Caenorhabditis elegans: one gene and its partners. The protein of the gene in region 3 purifies or fractionates together with the protein of the main gene of each other region. This does not show direct contact. Each region holds a gene or a part of one and is shown on either strand. Other genes may lie near its edges. The genes, in order: fbxa-143, xpo-1, T04H1.5 and T22C1.8.

Region 1 (4,796 bases), 3.9 Mb from region 3:
CGGAAATTGTCCGCTGGAAATATATGATATCACATTTTCTGAAAGCGGAAATTTTCGTAATATATGTCATTTTTCATTTAAATACTTTTTCATTTTAAACGAAAAATGTCTTTAAGCTAACCTAGCGCAAAAGATGGTGGAAAAAAAACTGAGATCTTCATTGAAAATTTCAGAATATTCAGATTTCGATTCAGTTGTATATTTAATTAAATTCTGAAATTTGACATACATTTTCCAATTACGTACTTTTCAGATTTTGGTCATTTTCAGTTAAATGCAATAAAGATATAAAACTGTAAAACCTATGTATAGCATCTAGTATACTCGGAAACAAGTATTTTCTCACATTCAGTTTCTAGTCAAAAATATCAAAACGCTCTCAATGTGAAGCACAAAAGCCCAGCAAAAAATTGACTGAACCGCACCAAACACATCTAAAAAATGCCTACTGCTTCCTAGCCTACACATGTGCTCACCATTTCCCGCAGCTATTCCTTTTTATCGAATCGTACGTCGTTATCCGTCACTGTGTTTACACAAGTCTAATTTTTCAGAAGAGCATATTAATCATCATTCCATTTTTTATGGCTCCCTACTGAATGGGGTGATCAAAAACTGAAATTATGCAAACTGCAAAATTCTACTTTTGACCTGAAATTCGAGCCGTCGGTCTGTCTCAAATTTATTCAATACAAAAACTTTTAAAAAAAATCATATTTTTTAAAATTTAATTTCAGTCACTGTCCACAATCTTCTTTTTTGTCAATCGAAAGTGTTCTGTGCTAAAGTCCAAGATAAAATCTGTGCCATTCTCGTTATAATCAATTTTGGCCCGTTCTTCTCCTTCGTAGTCCAGAATGAAAACTCTCACTATTTCGATAATGTTGGTTTCGGGGAACTTGAAGCACCCGTTCTCGAAGTCCACTGATTTTGTGAGCAACTGAAAATAATACTTGGATTTTTTTTCGATTTTTTATTTAAACTTACATCTCTCAGTTTTACTGCATCCTCTTTTGAAAAGCAAGGTACAATTACATAGAACTCTCTGAAATGGAGCATATCCTCGACAGAAACCTTATAACTCTTCCAGAACGAATCAAAAACTTGTGCTCTTTTCCATTGCTCAAGTTTAGCGATTTTCTCGAGATCTGTGGGCTCATTGGAAAGCAGCTCAATTTTTTCAAGATATCCAGCTTTTAGGAAAGGGATCACTAATAGAAGCTGCTCCTCGGAGAAATCTGTCCCATGAAACTTTTTAACGTGTAGGCAAGACATGGAGGATTTCAAAACATCAAGAAGAGTTGAAAAATAAGTCCCAGTTTGCTCAACATCAACAGAAAGCTGAATCGGAAATTTTTCCAAGCGAAGTGCCGGATTCTTCATGATAATTCCAAAGTCATTGAAAGCCACATCAACAGATTTTGCACCAATAATTGTTTTTGTCTTCTGTCCATACTTCAGGACACAATCACGTCCCACGCTGCTATATTTGATTTCCATGTTATCCACGAGCAATGATGTGTAATTCTTTTTCACAAAAAATCCTAGAGTTTTGAAGCCAGGGTTGTGAGTGTCAATAACTTCTCTCATTTTTCGAGACACTTTTCGCACAATTAATCTGAAAATAGAAGATTTTGAAATGATTTTCAAGAAAGCTGTAAGTTTAGGGTGCGCGGCAATTGCATAGTCCTGGTTATTGACAAAGTTACAGAAAACTAAAATTTATGAAAACCATACATATATATTTCATCGCAAAATGCTCATTTTTATTAGCTCAAAATACCAAAACCCCAAAGTGATAAACATTTTTCTCGTTTGCAAAGTTTAAATAATTTTCAGAATGTTTAGTACATTTTGTACATTCTGAAACAAAATCGGAAGGTCATATTTTTTGAAAATAATGAAATAAAATATCTGACAACTTTTGACCAAACCTGACGCTTAAATTAGTGTGGTAACCTATTTAAAATAGGAGATTTCAAATATTAGATGATAATACAAAAATACAATGGCAAACAAAACCCTAAACTAAAACTAACCGATTTTTATTCTTCAATTTGTCCACAATTTTATGTAGCAACTTTTCCGGCAGATCCAAAATTGATAGAGCCACATGCAGGCTAAAAGTTTTTTAGTCTTAAGTTCTATTTCACAAAATTTCGACCTACCTTCTTTCCGAATCTAACTCATGATTCCCTTGGTAAAACCGATAGAACCAAAATTCGAACTCCCTATAACCAATGACGTCATCTCCAATTCTATTGCAAAAATTTGTGTAGCAATTGTAAATTGGCTGCCTGCTGAGGACTTCGTACAAAATACATGCTCGCAGGGCTACTTTATTGTTTTGTAGAGTTTCAGCCATTCTGAAATTCTTATATTTTTGAAAAGCAGGAAAAACTAGAAGACATTGGGCAAAGAATTGGCAAACTGGAATCGATAGAGTAAGATTTTCTGTGCACGTTAGTCCGAAAGAGAGAAAGAAGATGACGCAGACGCCAAATACGTATTTTGTACCCAGCTGTGTTTTGTGTGTCATGGGAAGGGCGATTTGTTTGCAGAAAACACAGTTTGGCACCAAAGAAACAAGGTATTTTATGCTTGAAAATTATTTGTTCTATTTTTTATTTTTTCTAGTTTCGAATTTTCCCCAAAATTTAGCAATATTCCATAAATAAAGCTTAAAAACGATACAAAAATAAATGCTAATAATTTCTCGGACTGACAACTCCAAAAAATAAAAATTGTAGAAATTCCATGGCACCATGAGAATGTATCAATAGATCGCGTTTCCATTTTTCACCTCCAAATAAATGTGTAATCAATTAACTGACAAATTCATTAAATTTTATATTATTCAAATAAAACATCTTTTTTACAATAAAAACAAGAATTTGACAAAGACATTCACATAATTATTTAATTGGAAAAATACAAAAAAAAACGTTCATATCAATCATTAGAAACTCGTTTAATTTTGAGATATTTTGAGCCATGAAGAATTTAAAAATTTCCAGATGTTACCACAACATTTATAGAAAATTGATCTCCTCCGGCAAAGTTCGGATTGAAGATTTTGGCTGTTTCTAAAAATTCACACGGTGGGAATTCCAAATGTACAGATTTTAAGGCGATAGACTGTTCCAGAAGCTGAAAAATACTGCTATTTTATATCTAGTCTCTAAACTCACATTTTTGACTGTGATAGCATCTTCTATCGAAAACGAGACCAGTTTTATTTTGAACCTTTTAAAATTGAATAGATTTTTCAAAGGCAACACATAATTTCCAACATTGGCGACCAAAGTTTTTGCCTTTTTCCATTGATCCAAATCAGTTAACTGCTCCAAATTGCATGTCGTATTTCGGTTGAATAATCGTATTTCTCTAAGTGTTCATGCCGCCAAGTATGGCAAAAGCTTACCAATTTCAGATGAGCTCAAATTTTCAAACACCGACTGTTTAACTCTCAAAACTTTTGCAGAACTGAAAATTTGCATTAAAGACTTCAAGCATTTGTCACGTAATTCCGGCTCGAATTTCGTGAAAAGGTACACGCGAAATCGATTCAATTTCAGCTTGGGATTTTTCATCAATTGAGAAAAATCGTTCAAAGCCATTTCCATATAGTTTCCTTCTTTGACTTCAATCTTCCGGTATCGGAAAGTAGTGATACAACTATCCTTTTCATTTTTATATTCGATTTGGTTTTGGTCTAGGCGTAAGCAGGCCCAGTATGTTAAAATTGTGATTTGAATCTCTTTTATGCCGAAATTTCTGTTTTCCAGGAATCTTCGCAGGTTTTTTGAAACTTTTCGAAAAATAAGACTGCAAAATGTTTAGTCAGCAAAAAGAATAATCTGAAAAAATCCTTACAGGTCAATGGGCTCCAGCTTATCTAAAATTTTCTCAAAAACTTCAATCGGTATTGTGAAAAGTCTTGGTGCGCTAGTAGTGGTTCTGAAACAATTAACTATAACTTAAGTAAAAATTTATTAACTTGCGGCGTTTCGATCATTTATAGTTGTTCAAAATTTCAAAATGAAGCAAAAAAAAAAAATCAAAAACTCACTTCACTGTTTGCTTTTCTGCGTTTCTTCTTATCAGTTAGTAGGGGTTGCAAAAAGCTAAAACTCTCATTTTTATTCATTGATTAAAAATGTAAAAATACGGAAAAATTAAAACAAAAATCAAATTCCGTTTTGAAAATTGCACTGCATCATTCTCTGCGTATCGTTTTTTGTTGTGAAAGATTGAATGTTTGTTGAAAATAAAACATTTATTTCCTCGTGATTTTGAAGCATTTTGTACAAATATTGATAACGAACTTGATGTTATTATAAGTTTTATAAATCAAATTAGCATATTCACCACCGACGTGACCAGGATGAAATACGGTCGCAAGGTCTGTAATTCCAGATCGGGAAAAATGAAAGCAACAGCTTTGCAGGTTGGGAGAGTTGGAGAGCATCTGAAAATATTTTTTTATGGTAAAAAATTGCTCAACTTCGAGAGGCCACTTTTTTTCAAATTACAACACATTTTTTTAATTTACAGTCATAACGTAGAAATGACTATTTTAAACCAATTTTCAAAAAGATCATATAAAATTTTTCACTAGATATTGTATAGGCCGCAGGTCGCGAGCTACTCACTTTCTTGATATTTACGGCATCTTGTTTTGAAAAAACCGCTACTTGAATTTCAAAATAAGTCAATTTTTTGAATAAATGCTCCGTTGGTATTGAGTAGCTTGTACCTCGAGCAACAAAACATCGTGCTCTTTTGAACTGCTC
Region 2 (5,491 bases), 4.4 Mb from region 3:
ACAGTGGAAGATGAAGCTAACAATTTCAAAAAGGCTTGTGGAGCCTACAAAACAGAGCTGGAACCAATTGGAGGATACGATCGATTTGCTGGAGTAATTAAATACGTTCCATTGAACAAATCTACCTAATAATTTAGTAAACTATTTTTTGTCAATTTTAATAAATAAATGCTTTCGAACTAACCAATTTCCGCAACATTGCGCATTGTGTGTTGGAATGCCCAAACGACGGCGTCGATGACTGTTCCAAGATCCTCTGGAGGCATTTCCATGAAAACCGGGAAGCACTCTTGAACCAAAGAAAGCACCAGCTCGAAGAAGTTGGTTCGATGCTCGGGGAACGCTTCCATATCCTTGTTGATCATGTCAATGCTGCATTGGAAAACCGCACTGAGGATGCTCGGCACTTGTGGACAGAGGAGAGACTGAAAAATAATTTGATAAAGTTATAATTTTTGAGAAATTTTCGAAATTTAAAAGTTAAGAGTTGAGACGAATTTGAAAATTTTTCTTCAAGCCCTAAATTATTTTTATTTTATTTTAATTTTTTCAAAATTTCAAAAGATAACTGACTCCAAGTTGTGTGACCAGAATGCTGAGCAAAGACAACACTTTCGGCTCTCTCGCCTGTGGCACATTCTTCTGGTAATCGAAGAGAACCGCATCGAACAATGGTGGAACTATACTGTCCAGAATGAGCTTGGCATCTCCGTTCTTTGAAATGAATGTCGATAGAAGGATGAGAATCTCTCGCTTCACAGCTCGCATCGTCTTTACCAATGGATTCTTCAAAGCCTCTTCGCCGGCGGTTGTCACTGCTCGGGACACCTTCTCGGATAGAATTCTAAAAAAATTAGGTTTACTAACAGAACTTCTTTTTTTTTTAATTCTCACTTGTAGAGGGATAGAAGATCACTGTAGATATTTCCGAGTTGGGTTACAAACGAAGATCCAATGGATTTGCAGGCGGCCACATTTGTTTTTAGTATATTCAGGACAGATTTGACCATCTGAAATTTGAATAAATATAAAAGCCAACCCCTTAAAATAAATTACCTCCGGCTCTTCGAGCACACTGTCGTTAGTGGATGCTGCTGCAATGATGTCGTTCCATGTGCGATTTGGGATATCCATAAGCTTCATGATCAGGTCTTCTTGCAGATTTCCATCTATCTGCGCAGAAATGATGTGTCCAACAGCCTCGTAGAATACGTGAACTTGTGCATGAGAAAGATCGCAGATGATTCCAGTCAAATTTTCGAGCATCTCTTCGACGAAAGGCTTATTCTCAGCTGGTTGGACGATGACGAAATGCCTCTTACATTTTATGGAAATCTTGATGAATGTATCACAAGCCATGTCCTGTACACCTTCATGAGTCTCGTGCATGAACTCGAAAAGCTTATTGATAACCGTCTTCAGGAACTTCCAGTGAGCTCGAAGGAATCTCGGGTACTGTCCGACAACATACATGATGTTTGACGCAATCACTGCCTTATTGTCCTTTCCACGTTTCTGTTCACAGAGCCCGAGTAAATCACGAATAACAAGAACAAGGAATCGCTTTTCGTCTTCTTCAACCATCGTTCCAGAAATCGAACCAACAGCCCAGCACAAACGATTCAAATTCTTCCACGAAAACTCTCCTCCGTTCACTTGTGATGCCAACTTTTCAGTCATCTTCACTTCAGTGTCCTTGTTGTCAAGATGAGTCAAATAGACAAGCGTTTCACGCATGTTACGGTACAAAGCAATCGAATCAGTATCTTTGACCATTTCACGAACAACTTCTCCTTGATCATTTTCCACAATCAACACCTCTTCTGGCTTTGCCATTCGAGAAATCATTGTTGAACGAAGTTGCGAGAGGTATTCACGGTAGAGTTGACGACGTGGATGCTCACGAACCTGACTCATCATTCCGTAAAGAGTACTTGGCTGAATGAATGGACATATACGGTAGAGCTCAGCAGTCAACCAGCACCAACAATCGAGGCAAACTTTGAAAACCTCCATTTCTTCGATCAAAGTGATTTTCAAAAGAAGTTGAATAGCATAGTCGTGAGATTCTCGCATTAAAATTTTAGCCTCAGTTAATGGCTCATCAGTTACTTCAATCAGATGAACGTGCTCTTTGATGAACGCGACAAGAAATTGAGCCAGACTACTGATGAGTTTCTGATCCTGATCGGAAGCATCTTTGTAGACAGCAGCCAGGTCGAGGTCCAAAGATAGAACTTGGCTAATGTGGCGCATTGTAGAGCAGAACATTTTGACAAGCTTTTCGTCGTAGCTGGGATCGTTGGTTTCAACTTGAATTTGTGAAATTTCCGTGAGACATTGAAGAGCGATGACACGATACACTTCAAGCGAAAGGAAGTTTTCAGACAGCAATTCCGTGATGTTTGTCTCGAAAACGTAGCCAACTGGAATCCAGGTGAGGAATCGTTGAAGAGTCTTCAAGGTAGCTTGAACCATAGAGTTGGATGGACATTTCTCGAGAATGCTGACACACAGTGTGAATACTTCTTGGAACTGTCCACAGAATTGTTGTTTCAGATGTTGTTCCTTGGCTTGGGTGAGGTTTTGGGATCCGAAATCAAATACTTCTTCGCTGAAAAATATAATAAATGTAGCAAAACATTTTAAAACTAATTCAAAATACCTCAACAAGCTCAGAATATTCATATTGTTGATGCAAACGGTCTCGTTGTTCTTCGATGAATCAACAATATCGGTGATGAATGTTGGCCATGCCTTTGGCCAATCTTGTTTGACAATTTGAACCAAAACGAGGTTCAACTTGTGAAGAAGCAGTTGACTTTGTTCCATGACACTCTGATCAGAAGACAATTCGAACATTTTGGTGATGATGTACGACTTGATTCCTTCACGTTGGACTTGTGGCAACGACTTCCATTTGTGTTGGATGACAGTCTCAAGGATTTGAAGTGCAAAATACTTGGACTCATTTAGCTGCGAATATTGAAGAATCGCATCGACTTTGGTCCACGAATCGCGTTCTTCCTTGAGCGACATGAGGATTTGGTTAGCCTCGGCCTGTTCTTTTCCGCTCATTCGATTCATAATCTCGACGACTTGATCCAAAAGAGTCACATCGATACGGTCACCTTGGGCGAATTGACGCTTCGCTTCAGAGAGCACTTCCATTGCTGAGACAGCCATGTTTTTTTATTGTCGGTTTCTGAAATTGATAGCATTTATTGACCAACACTATAAATATAAAATAACTTACCAGCGATCAAATTTCGCAAAAATCGGCAGTAGTTTCCAGTTCAGTCTCACACACTCACGCACACACAAAACTGGCGGGGTTCAGGCTCTCGCTTTTCGGGCAGAAATCCTGTGTTTCTCACAGTGAAGCTGGAAAATTAGGCCAAAATATCGTTTCACTCGCACACACACTCTCACGCTCTCTCACACAACCGACTGTTGACGATGGGACGATCGATCTAGCCCAGTTCTGAAAATAAGAAAATTATTTTTAAATTTGCAAACCAAAAGGTGTAGAAAATATATGTCAAGAGAGGGAAAAAATATTGACCTAAAGTTTGACAGAAATAAATTCAGAAACGGAAATTGGAGATGGGAGAAGACGAGAGATATTTCTTTCATCATCGTCACTTTTGACAGTCAAATGTTTCGAAATTACTGGATTGATAAGGATCTATTCAAGACTAGGAAGTGAGAAATGCTGAATGCAAAAGTTCGGCCAAACAAATCTCACTGCGAAAAATATTGTGTGCGACCTTGCTGAATTGGGACAGAGCGCGCGATGTTATTGTAAGCAACGGTAAAAAATCGATTGAGGACACCTCGATGAGTGCACCCGTCCCGCTTTGTCTTGTCACGTGATGTGCATGACTTGCGCCCTCTCTTTACGTTCGGAAAACATTGAAAACAAAGCGTAGGAGCTATTGAGGAGGGGTCATGTGATTTTTTTTCGCATGTTTACTTGTTTGCAGATACATGAAGACAGGAGAAGAAATTGAGAAACGGAAGGACCATTCTGAATATTTTTGGCCGAGACGCGCGTCGAAAATGTCGAAATGAGAAAGATTGAATGAAAATAGAAGCAACAAAATCGCCGCACGTGACACACTACACACCTATTATTTGCTATGAGAACGGAAAAAAAACAGCGGTGAAGCAGATTTTACGTGTGAGAGACAAAAAACGGAAGAAGTGGGAGAAATCGTCGGATTCATGCTCAGCGGCCATCCCAGTTTTTATCACAAGACACGCGCCGGCGCGCGCGGGGAAAGTCTCCTCGCGGCCTTTCCTGTTCGAATTCATCGCAGACGCAAAAGAGTACGATGGAGCGCATTTGACAAAAACTTTCGCGGCTGTTGGGTACTCGCGGACCTGATATTTCTGTGTTTGGTGAGAACGGAAACAACGAGTAAAATGTATTTTACTTACTTTTCGAAAGTAGATATTCACAAAAATAAAATGTGCTGTTAAATTTTTAAGTACATCTTAACGAATTATTTCGAAAATAATTTGATTGCGAAATTAAATTCATGTTTATACGCTGTTGTTTTCATCGTTCTTGTGATTTTCAGAAGAAAAATGAAGCCAAACTTGAGAACAAAGCAAGAAAAAATGTTGATAATTTTCGCTAAATAAAATTATTTCCCTTGAAATAAAAATTGGCGTCTAAACTTATCGGGAAACAAATAAAATGTTGAAAAGAAGGCAACCAAAAGTGAGGAATATTTGAAAAAAACAACCGTATCACCTATTTCGCTTCGAGACCTGTGAACGGTTTTCTTTGCATGCGCCTTTAAGATTATGATAGAAAACATTATTTTTGTTTTTGTTTTCAGTACTGCAGTTTTATGGATTCAATTGACAACTCCACAACAATAATAAGGAAGAATTTGAACCGATTCATACGAGAAGTGAGTTTTGGAACTAAAAAACAAAATTATGCGAAAGTTTTCAGCTGACAGATGATGGAAAGTTGGACTTTGAATCAATACCATATCAAAATTTGCAAAAAGAAGTGGCAAATCAGGACGAAGAAGGCTGCGAGAATGTGATAGAAGTATTGCTGGATACTACAAGCGTAAGATTCAAGATTAACATTAGAATTAATTAATTAAAACATTTTAAGAGATCAGGATGTCCCGATAGGAAACTAATTCTGCAACTGTTCAATAGCTTCTTCTTACAATTTCCAATATTTCGGGAAAATCTACTCAATGATCCATCAGTGAGTTTTGTGAAAGCTTAAATTAAACTAAAAAATTAAATTTCTCTAGGAATTTCTCGAATTAATGTTCGAAACAAACCCAATTCGTAACCCACTCCCTGGTTCGAAAAAACATGGAAATGAGCTGAAAGTCGAAGCGATAACAGTGATTAAAAGCTGGGAAAAGGAGAAGTGTGTGAAGAACGATGCAAGAATGAAATGTTTGGTGGTGACGTTGAAGAAGACAAAATTTGTAGACTATGAAAATGGAGC
Region 3 (3,895 bases):
TTCACAACTTTAAATTGAGGTTCTTCAGTTTCATAAATGTCTACACTATCCACATCTGGTTCGACTACATCCTAAATATTGTTTCTTGATATTCTGGTAATGTAAACAAATATAGACCTATCCTCGGCCCTGGCCCAAGCCTTTATAACTTACAATATTTGGATATGGCTGCTGAACAGTATGAATGCTTGATTGAGGATTTGGAACGTAGCCTCCAGAACCAGACGAAGCACTAGGTTGTACATATGGATAAGGCTGCTGGAAAATATTTATACAATTCACTAAAGAAAAACGATTGTTTTGATTTTTTTCAAAATTAAGTTTTTAAATCGTCTGTGAATCCAATTGGAATCTTTATGTTGCCTAAAACCATAATGATTTTTTGTGCGATTTTTTGTCAAAATTAGGTCTCGATACGACAGAAATATTTTAAATACGGTGATTTTAAATAGTACTGTAGTGCGACTCATTTCACAATTTTTTCGATTTTACATAAATATTTTCCTTGTAGCTCATACCGATTTATATGTAAATACGAAACAAATAGTTAGAAATAAAGCATTAAAATCGGAACGAACGAGGAAAAATTGAAAAAAAAACTTGAACTTGAACTACAGTACTCCTTATAGGTGCAAATCCCTTGGCGAGCCCTTCATTTGAACAATATCTTGGTCGTGGTGAGACCCTAAGCATTAGAAACTTTGAGAAAGAGAAATAAGAACAAATGCTACAAATTTTTGAACAGTTCACTGTACCTGCTGAGTTGCTGTGCCATATAGATCCTGTGGAAGAACCGGTTGAACGGCTAGAAGAATGAAAAATATGGACGTTAACCATGCCATGATTTGCAAAATGATTGGCAATCAAATTTACCGGAACAGATCGAGAGAATGGATGAGCAGATGATAAAGATGGTGGAACTTGATGTTGCTGCCCACTGAAGACTGTAGCTGAAGAAGCACAAGTGTCGTGTGTGCACTGGACTTTCTTCTTTTTCAATTGTTTGTGTTCTTTTCTATCGCTAAAGAAGCTTTTCGCGCTGTTGGGGGCTACTGGTGGTGCGCGGCAACTGATCGCCACTTCAAGCTGACTGACTAGTGGTCACTTGTCACTTGATACGTTCCCACCTTGAGAAACAACACAGGAGCAGACAATAATGAAGCAAAAAAGCAAAAAAAAAAAGTGACACGATGTTAGGACACGAACTTGGTTATAAAAAAGGATTCATAGTATATACATCAAGAATTGAGATTTTATGAAAATAATTAATCTATTCATCTTCTCCATGATGTGCTCGACGAGTGCTCCCAGGACAATGTTCGATCATATCTTCTGGCGAGGAAAAGTTGGCTCCGCACCAAATACAATAGAAGTGACCATCTCGAAGATAATTGTTGATAGTGGAAAGTCTGAAATAAACGCATATTTAATACTATTGTCGGTTTGGATAAATAACGCTCATTGAAACCTTATCTACAAAACAAAAACTTACGCTTCTTCTAAAATTTCCGTTGACATTGTGAAATCATAATTCGGATCTTCTGGAGCTGCTAAACCATTTGAGTACTTATATTCTTCATCTTCTTTTTCAACTTTTTTATGGTAAGATGTAGTTTCCTCTTGAGCAACTTTATAACTTCTCCAAAACCACGAAACACTGGGAACTTTTTTTCCAATTCGATGATCCAACTCTTCGCACACCTTTCGACAAGATCTGATGTCTTTGACTAATTGCTTTGAGTTGGCATCAAGCTTCCGCCGTTTGGAATAGTCATCGATCAGCTCTTCATGCTTTGCCGCTTGTTCTTTCATTTTTTGCATTACAGCCTCAACTCGTTCATTGCGTTCTTGAACTGCTTCAACCTCGTGCCCAAGTCCCTTCCTATTAGCCTTGATATCGACACCAATTGGTTCCGTAATTCGAATTTCGTCTTCTCTTTGCTTTCCCAATGTCATACCAGGTTTGAATCCCATTTTTGCCATCAATGCAAATCCTTTCGATTCGTGGCTAATCGGTTTTGCGAGCGCCTCGTCGCGACGTTCTTTTTCTGAAATTTATTTGGTAAACTACAAAAATAATATACTACGATTTACAAACCTCGCTCAGCATGACTAGTTGGCCTTTTTGGTTTAAACGTGTCTCTGGACTCTTCAAATCTTGAATTTATTTGTAGTTCTCGCTTGTGAGCTCTAGATTTTGCAATTCCAACTGGTTGTTCACTAACTCCTTGGAGAATTTCAGCAGACATGTAGTCATCCTCATCGTCAGACATTCTGATCTTGAATCGAAATTTTTTATGAATAAGGTTAGCTTTTAACAAGAAGAAAGAAACAAAAGCGTAGCAAAAAACGCATTAGAATATTGAAACAGTTAGAAAATATTTTTCATTTCACATCGGCCGATGCATCGGGTTCATCTCGTAAAATATAAAACATGAGGTAACAACATTTGGAAACTCGGGAATGATCTGACAAAGCATAAAACATAATTAAAAGGTGAGCGAATCAATTTTGAGACCGTAAAATATTATTTGTACTATTGAGATTCTTCAATACCATTCTAGAACCGTCTCTTCGTATTAACTCTTTTCACTGTTCCATCTGGATAACGTTTCGAAAGGAAACTTATTCCGTGCTCGTCCTTCCCCAAACAATAAATATACTCTGGACGACAACTGATTGTGATCCTGTTGACGAGTCGCTCATCGTGAGTGATTACTACCATCTATAAGTTTGATTATTAGTTTTGATAGCTCATTATCCCATACCTGCATATCTCTTCCTCTCAACTTTCCATTTTCATCGAATCCGCGTCTTTCAGCAATTATATCTGCCAAAACGATAGCCATTCCTTCCACTTTGCTCTCATCCAAATTTGTTGTTGGTTCATCCAACGCAATCATCGAGCATGAACCACCGAATACTTCTGCGAGTGCAATGCGAATAAGCAACGAAGCAAGCATTTTTTGACCAGCACTGCAGCGTCCACGCATCTCAACTTCGGTGCCAGTTTCATGAACCATCATAACATTGTATTCGTATGCGACTTTCTTTGAAGAAGTCTCAGAAGTAGCATCTGATCTGGAAAAGAAACATTATACCGGTAAACAATTGTAGAATAGTAGTGAAAAAATACCTAATCCTGATTGTAGTAATATCCGTGGAATTATATACTTTTCTCCATAGATCATCAATGATTCCATTGACCCTGCCCATTTTTTCAGAATGAAATTGGATGAGTGAAGCATCAAGACAATTTCTATACTTCGTTAAATCAGAGATAGATTCTTTAGTAATTGCCAGTTCTATGATAGCATCACGATAATTCGATTCAGCATTCTGACACTCTTTCGTTGACAATTTTGCTTCCGCAATTTTTTTTTGCTTCTCGTACTCTTGCATCTGAGTGTATATTTTCACTTCTTCGTTTCCAATCAAGCGAAGTTCATTTTGAAGTTTGTTATAAGCTTGTTTTTGTTCAGTTATGCGATCTTCATTTATTTGTCCATCGAATGTGGCCAATGTTCTTTTCAACTCTTTTATCTTATTTTCGATAATCATTCGAGTAAGTTGATCTTTTAGAATTGACTCGCGTTGATGTGAACTATCGAACGAACGGAGATCTTCTTCGAAACGTTTTTGGCGTTGCTGATTTTCTTCTAAGCTGGCATTCAGAGTTCTGAAAATATATTTTGATACAAAATACTATAGTAGTTTAAAAATTACTAACGCAATATTATTTTCCTTATCCATGAGTTGTCTTTCGCACAGACCGCCTTCCTGGACTTTTTTAAACAGCGATTTCCGATGGAAAATTTTTTGATCCAACTCCTTTTTCATCATCTGCACTTCCATTTCAGCTTTTTTCTTCTCTTCTTCTTTACTGGAAACATTT
Region 4 (5,317 bases), on a different chromosome or scaffold from region 3:
GTACCCCGCCTCCTCTTTCGTTTTTTTTCGCTCCTGGACCCTTCCGATACTTTGCACCAAAAATAAGAAAGAGAGAAAGAGAGATGATGATGGACATCATATGTGGAGAACAGGAAGAGATTGAAATACTTGAAGAACTACGAAAACAAAGAAAAAGTCTATTGAAATGCAAAACAGGGATTTTTTCTTCAGATCTATTTATTGTTTCCCGATATCTAAAATTGAACACCGTAGGGCATGTGATTTTTCCAGATTCGCCGATCCTTCGAGCATGACGACCCTCAGACAAAGCTAAGCGACGATCTCATTTAAAAAAATATACGTTTTTTCCAATTTTCTGATAATTTTAAAATTCACAGTTTGTTTTCAGGCTTTTTTCAAATTTTTCTAAAAAGGGCAGTCTTTCTTTTTTTTTTCTTTTTGTTGGATGCACAGAGCCCTCCAAAACCTCAGGTTTTGCGGTTTCTTGAAGCAAATCATGTTGATAACTGTATCCCTGTACTGTGATTACTGAAGAAAAAAAAACAAATATAATAATATATCATGGAGTTGGTTATTTGAAAAGTTAAAATAAAGTATTGAACTTTTACAAATGTCTGACTGAAAATAGTTTGAAAGTATTTAGAAGAATGAAGCTGAAGGTGTTCTAGACCGCTCTCCGACAATCGTATCGTTGTTCAAAGAAGATCAGCGATTTTCGATCGAAGAGGAGAATAAGACTGAAGGTGACGGAGCTAACTACGAGAATGAGGTGAATATGTGCTGTTCCACTCGGACAAAGGTTACCGGATGTCTAATTTTTTGGTCGCAAAGATGAATCAAATGTGAAAACTCAAAAAATACAAGTAACCATTCATTCAAGGAAAAAAATTTTGGGAACTCGATAGTAGATCACAAGAGCGGGCTGGTAATGGCAGAACATTACAGGAAGTATTGACTACGGTTGGCAGATTGCTGAAAATAAATTAGTTACGACTACAAACATTCGAACTTTATACCTTTTTCACCAGCTTGAAATTGCCTTCCTTGGAGTTCTTCTTCTCGTGTCCCTTTGTTTCCTTGCTCTCTTTCGTATCGCAACTGTCCTTGTTACCATCTTTACTGTTCTTTCTCACAACGGGAATCGACAGAAGTGGTTCATTTGGAAGAGAGATCATGCTGATATTGTCATTCTGGGCAGCAGTTTCCTCTTTGATCTCAACTTTTTGCGTCGCCTGAGTTTTTTGGTCTTCCATATCAGGTCCATCTTCCGAAGAAGATCTTGTTTCGAGTGGAAGTGGATGATCTTTGCATTCTTTTGGATGTTCAGTCTTCGGAGATTTGTGCTCTTTGCATTCTTTGTCCTTTTTGATAGGTTTCAGAATCTTTTCGCAAATCTTTTCCATGCATTCTTGTGCTTTTTCTGCTGGAGAATGATGTGGAGTAGCTTCTTTTGGAACAACTGGAACAGGCTTGGCATCAGCTGGAATGATGTTGAGTGCTGGTGTGGATGGTGTTGTTGGTACGTGATCCACTTTTCCACGTGTCTGGATGAACTGCTGGATGTTCCAAGTGAGAAGCTCAACTCTCTGAAATATAATACATAAACCTTGCTTTCCACTGAAGTCACACTCACATCATCTAAATCCGAGTCATCCCAGTAGCCATTATCCTTTCCGTAGTTGATCAGAATCTGCACAAGTGCCATGTATTGAATGTCAACTTGAATACTTCCGGCTCGGCTGTCTTAAAAAACGTGATTAATAAAAATCATCATTTCAATATTAACTTACTTCTCAAGGCTCTACAAGTTCCCAGCAAATCCAGTTCTTTCCCATCCGTCAGTATTTGAAGACATGCTTCAATCGCAACAAAAGTGCCTGTTCGGCCAATTCCGGCGGAGCAGTGAACAGTGACTGGGCCGGAAGCTGTGCGCACAATGTAGAGCATTCGGAGCAAAGCCATCGTAGAGTTAGGGACACAACGGTCAGGCCTGAAAGTAATTCTATTATTATAAAGATTTTCAGTTTGAGTTTTCTGATTTTGGTTTTTCAATGACACTAAACCGAATGTTGTTCTGTAAAGATCAGTGGCTTACCATGACTTTGTATGCAAATGCTTCAAAATATGTTCCTTCCCATTGTCCACATTTCTAACTGATAATGTTCTTTTGATGATATTCGCATCCTTATCATCCTCCAATGAACACAGAATGGTCCATGCTCCGAAAGTCATTGCTTCTCCAGCTTTTTCCGGATAGTATTGGGCACATTTAGCCTTTCCGTCTTCCATCACCTCACATAGCATCACAATGTAGGCAGTCTTCGTGTGAACAACCATTCTCCAGAAATCAATGACAGTTGCTGCAGTGGCGCCTTGTGTCAAAATGAACGGAGCGTTCAAACCATTTACATAGTTTGCATGGATATAATCTCCATCACCACCATCACTGAGAATCACGCGTGTTATGTCATTGCAAACAACATCTGAAATATTAATTTTAATTCGATTCAAGTTCCTATATTTCATACCTTTATAGCGATTCTTTGTTGGGTTCGCGTCAAAGATTTTCCGTTCCATTGGCTGACCAGGATATGGTTTCACTTTTGTCATGAATTCGACTGAGTACTCTGGAGGATTCTTCTTGACAGCATCACTTGCAAACTTGAAGAAAACCTTCTTCTGTACATCCGACAGTGGATCGCCTTTTAACTGAAAATCATAAATTCGGATTGAGAAGTGCTTTCTCTTTTTATTGTACTTTCCACCCGGACGAGGTCTCTCAGTCTACCTGCACCCTTCCCGATGTATACGGGAATGTATAATAATATAATTAACGTCCAAAAAGTCCAAAAGTATTTACCGGGATTATGGCATGCGTTTTTTCGTTATTGAAGTGGATCTTCTTGTCAGGATTCCAGACCGGATGAGAACATGCTCGTTTCCGTTCGGTTCCTCTTTTTGGTTTTCTCCTTTTCTGGGTGCTTCCAACCTCTTCCTTTTTCTCATTGTGAAGAACTGAAAGAATTCAGATTTTTCTAAATAATACTGTATGATTAAACTCACGAAATCCCAATCTTTTCAGTACTCCTCCTTTCTTTTTATCCTTTTCATCAACTTTTTCGTCAGATGGCTTTTTCGCAAGGCGTCGAGATGCCTGTTGATCATCCTGCGAATTTCCACGTGTTCCCTTTCTTCGTTGCATTTTATTTCAGTTCACTGATCCGTTGATTGATGGATTACACTATCTCGGAACGATTCGTTTTTTTCGAGAAGCGTCGGTTTTATTTTGATTTCTTCGTTCGAAGCTGACGAAGACAAATGTAGAAATAATTCAACTTTCGACTAATCTCTGATATTGACAACTTTCAAATAAGGAGGGGGGGGGGGACGTGGAAGTTCAAATTAAAAAAATATATACATATATGTTGTTGTAATTGTATTTTACGTTTTTACGAAAATAACATTTTCTAAATTTCACATTTCTGAAATGCGTGAACTTTTATTTCTGCCAACGAACTTAAACAATCTTATTTACAAATCTACTACGACTTCGAACAATCAAATTTATTCCTGACTTTTCAAAAGTGAGAGATGGTAAAACCGGCAAATACTTCGTCTTCACTTATCACTAAAAGAGTTTTGACTCTCGGTAATAATGTCACAATTGATATATACGATCATCATTATTATCCAATGGTAAGTTCATTTTTAAAAACTTCTAATCTTTTGAAATTTTTCAGTGGTTTTGGATTGTAATTTCTGTTGGATTTGTCTTCTGTACTCTGAGCTGTGCTGTTTGGTTTATGTGTGCTATGTGGAGATTGAAAAGTAATATTAGAATATTCTAATATTCTGTGGAACTTTTCCTGTCAGGCTTTTGCTCAGATAAGATTTTCTTTGCTCTCAGAATCCTAGCTCTGGTTTAGGTGGTGCTTTGATATTTTTTGCAAAAGATCTCTAATGGGGTTATTTAAGTAATGTAGCAAAATGTATTTAAATACATTTGTGACCTCACAAATGTATTTAAATACACGTTTTTATATACTTGAATACAGTTGTGACGTAATTTTTCTACACTTTTTAATTTTCCGACACTACTTGAATAACCCCATAAGAAACAATCAAAATGTGTATGTTGGAATTTTAGAACTGGATGTTTTTCAGAGGGTAAAGAATGTAACCATCCATCGTTTGAAGCGCGTACCGTTGTGACAAAAGATGGAGAAGAGAAACCGGATCCCAAAATGGCTCAAAAATCAGAAAAGACTTGTAAAAAATTAGGTGCATTGGGTGAAGCTGAATCGTTGGCCAAGAGCTTCAAAAGTATCAGATCGAAAAAGTCGATGAAGTCTACAAAATCCAAGAAATCTGAAAAAGATGTAGGACATGATGATCATAAGAAGGAAGATGTTCATGGTGATCAAAAGGATGATAATAAAGATCGAAACGATGGAGGACGAGATTCTCATGTTGTTCAGATGGAACATAATTCTGAAGAGGAACACGAGCCGAGTGGATTTAAAAAGGTTTTTTTTAATCGTTGAATTTTGAAGGTACCTCAGATAAATCAAACCACGCAGGCAACGCGTCTAGACCACGCAGAAGCTGGCAGTCTTGAGCGTGGTTGTAGGCGTTGCCTGCGTGGTTTGGAGCGGCACCTGAGCCGCTTATCGTAGAAAAAGCTTTGATGAGCACAAAGAAAATAAGAAAATATTGCTGCCAACAATTGGAAACTTTTAATGAAATATTTTTACAGCTGGGCAAGTCTTTCTTCAACTTCAAAAAGTAGCAAACTCTCTTCACCTTCACCAAAGAATAGCAAATGTTGAATGCTCCAAACTTGTAGACTTATAGAACTGTAGAGCATCTTTATTTATGAATGAAACTGTTCACAAATGCCATTCTACTTATTTTAAACACCTTCTGAGCCAATTACCAGGAAAATTTCAAATTTTAAACTGCAATTTATATCCTCAACTTACTACTTTTTTTCTTGATTTTCACACGATATTTGAATTTTTCAATAAAATCATACAGCCGATTAAATAAATGAATGCCGTGAGTTCTTCCTGTTCAAAATAACAATCGAAATATGAATCTAAAATTCTGAAAAATCGTACTGCATTCAGTTTAATTTTCCATTATCAGATGATGAAACATATTTATTTCGAACAAAATTATTCATAGCCAACGATAAACTTTAGGAATCCGAAGTTAGTCTTCAAGATATCCCAGATCACATTGAAGAAATGGCTAAACTCTTCCCAAATTCCAGAGAAAACCTTGTTCACAAGCATCGGACGATAGGCACATAACTAATCTCGGAATTTTCGTC

What was found.
Region 1: the proteins of T04H1.5 (region 3) and fbxa-143 fractionate together in Caenorhabditis elegans (co-fractionation; one large-scale study listed by BioGRID). This does not show direct contact.
Region 2: the proteins of T04H1.5 (region 3) and xpo-1 fractionate together in Caenorhabditis elegans (co-fractionation; one large-scale study listed by BioGRID). This does not show direct contact.
Region 4: the proteins of T04H1.5 (region 3) and T22C1.8 fractionate together in Caenorhabditis elegans (co-fractionation; one large-scale study listed by BioGRID). This does not show direct contact.

The regions. Positions count from the first base shown.
Region 1 is NC_003283.11:16,125,130-16,129,925, forward strand, and holds fbxa-143 (F-box domain-containing protein), read right to left. Parts: upstream 2,373-4,796; 5' UTR 2,366-2,372; coding exon 2,169-2,365; intron 2,121-2,168; coding exon 2,040-2,120; intron 1,619-2,039; coding exon 988-1,618; intron 941-987; coding exon 734-940; 3' UTR 665-733; downstream 1-664. Other genes in the region: fbxa-142 (F-box domain-containing protein), read right to left, coding at 4,280-4,471, 4,656-4,796.
Region 2 is NC_003283.11:7,803,057-7,808,547, reverse strand, and holds the start of xpo-1 (Importin N-terminal domain-containing protein), read right to left. Parts: upstream 3,485-5,491; 5' UTR 3,257-3,484; intron 3,206-3,256; 5' UTR 3,187-3,205; coding exon 2,666-3,186; intron 2,615-2,665; coding exon 1,057-2,614; intron 1,011-1,056; coding exon 895-1,010; intron 845-894; coding exon 574-844; intron 426-573; coding exon 185-425; intron 182-184; exon of another isoform or gene 130-181; coding exon of another isoform or gene 1-129. Other genes in the region: ZK742.3 (NADH:flavin oxidoreductase/NADH oxidase N-terminal domain-containing protein), read left to right, coding at 1-129; uvs-1 (UV-stimulated scaffold protein A homolog), read left to right, coding at 4,863-4,925, 4,970-5,092, 5,141-5,239, 5,289-5,491.
Region 3 is NC_003283.11:12,249,725-12,253,619, reverse strand, and holds T04H1.5 (G patch domain-containing protein 11), read right to left. Parts: upstream 2,280-3,895; 5' UTR 2,274-2,279; coding exon 2,099-2,273; intron 2,049-2,098; coding exon 1,493-2,048; intron 1,410-1,492; coding exon 1,271-1,409; 3' UTR 1,213-1,270; downstream 1-1,212. Other genes in the region: lrx-1 (LRP X(cross)-hybridizing), read right to left, coding at 1-71, 154-258, 756-842; rad-50 (Zinc-hook domain-containing protein), read right to left, coding at 2,561-2,725, 2,769-3,081, 3,137-3,679, 3,731-3,895.
Region 4 is NC_003279.8:7,955,136-7,960,452, forward strand, and holds T22C1.8 (Protein-tyrosine phosphatase), read right to left. Parts: upstream 3,296-5,317; 5' UTR 3,185-3,295; coding exon 3,046-3,184; intron 2,998-3,045; coding exon 2,843-2,997; intron 2,692-2,842; coding exon 2,511-2,691; intron 2,466-2,510; coding exon 2,078-2,465; intron 1,973-2,077; coding exon 1,773-1,972; intron 1,726-1,772; coding exon 1,616-1,725; intron 1,569-1,615; coding exon 999-1,568; intron 955-998; coding exon 922-954; 3' UTR 842-921; downstream 1-841. Other genes in the region: T22C1.9 (uncharacterized protein), read left to right, coding at 3,574-3,678, 3,723-3,810, 4,147-4,508, 4,739-4,771; T22C1.12 (C6 domain-containing protein), read right to left, coding at 5,270-5,317.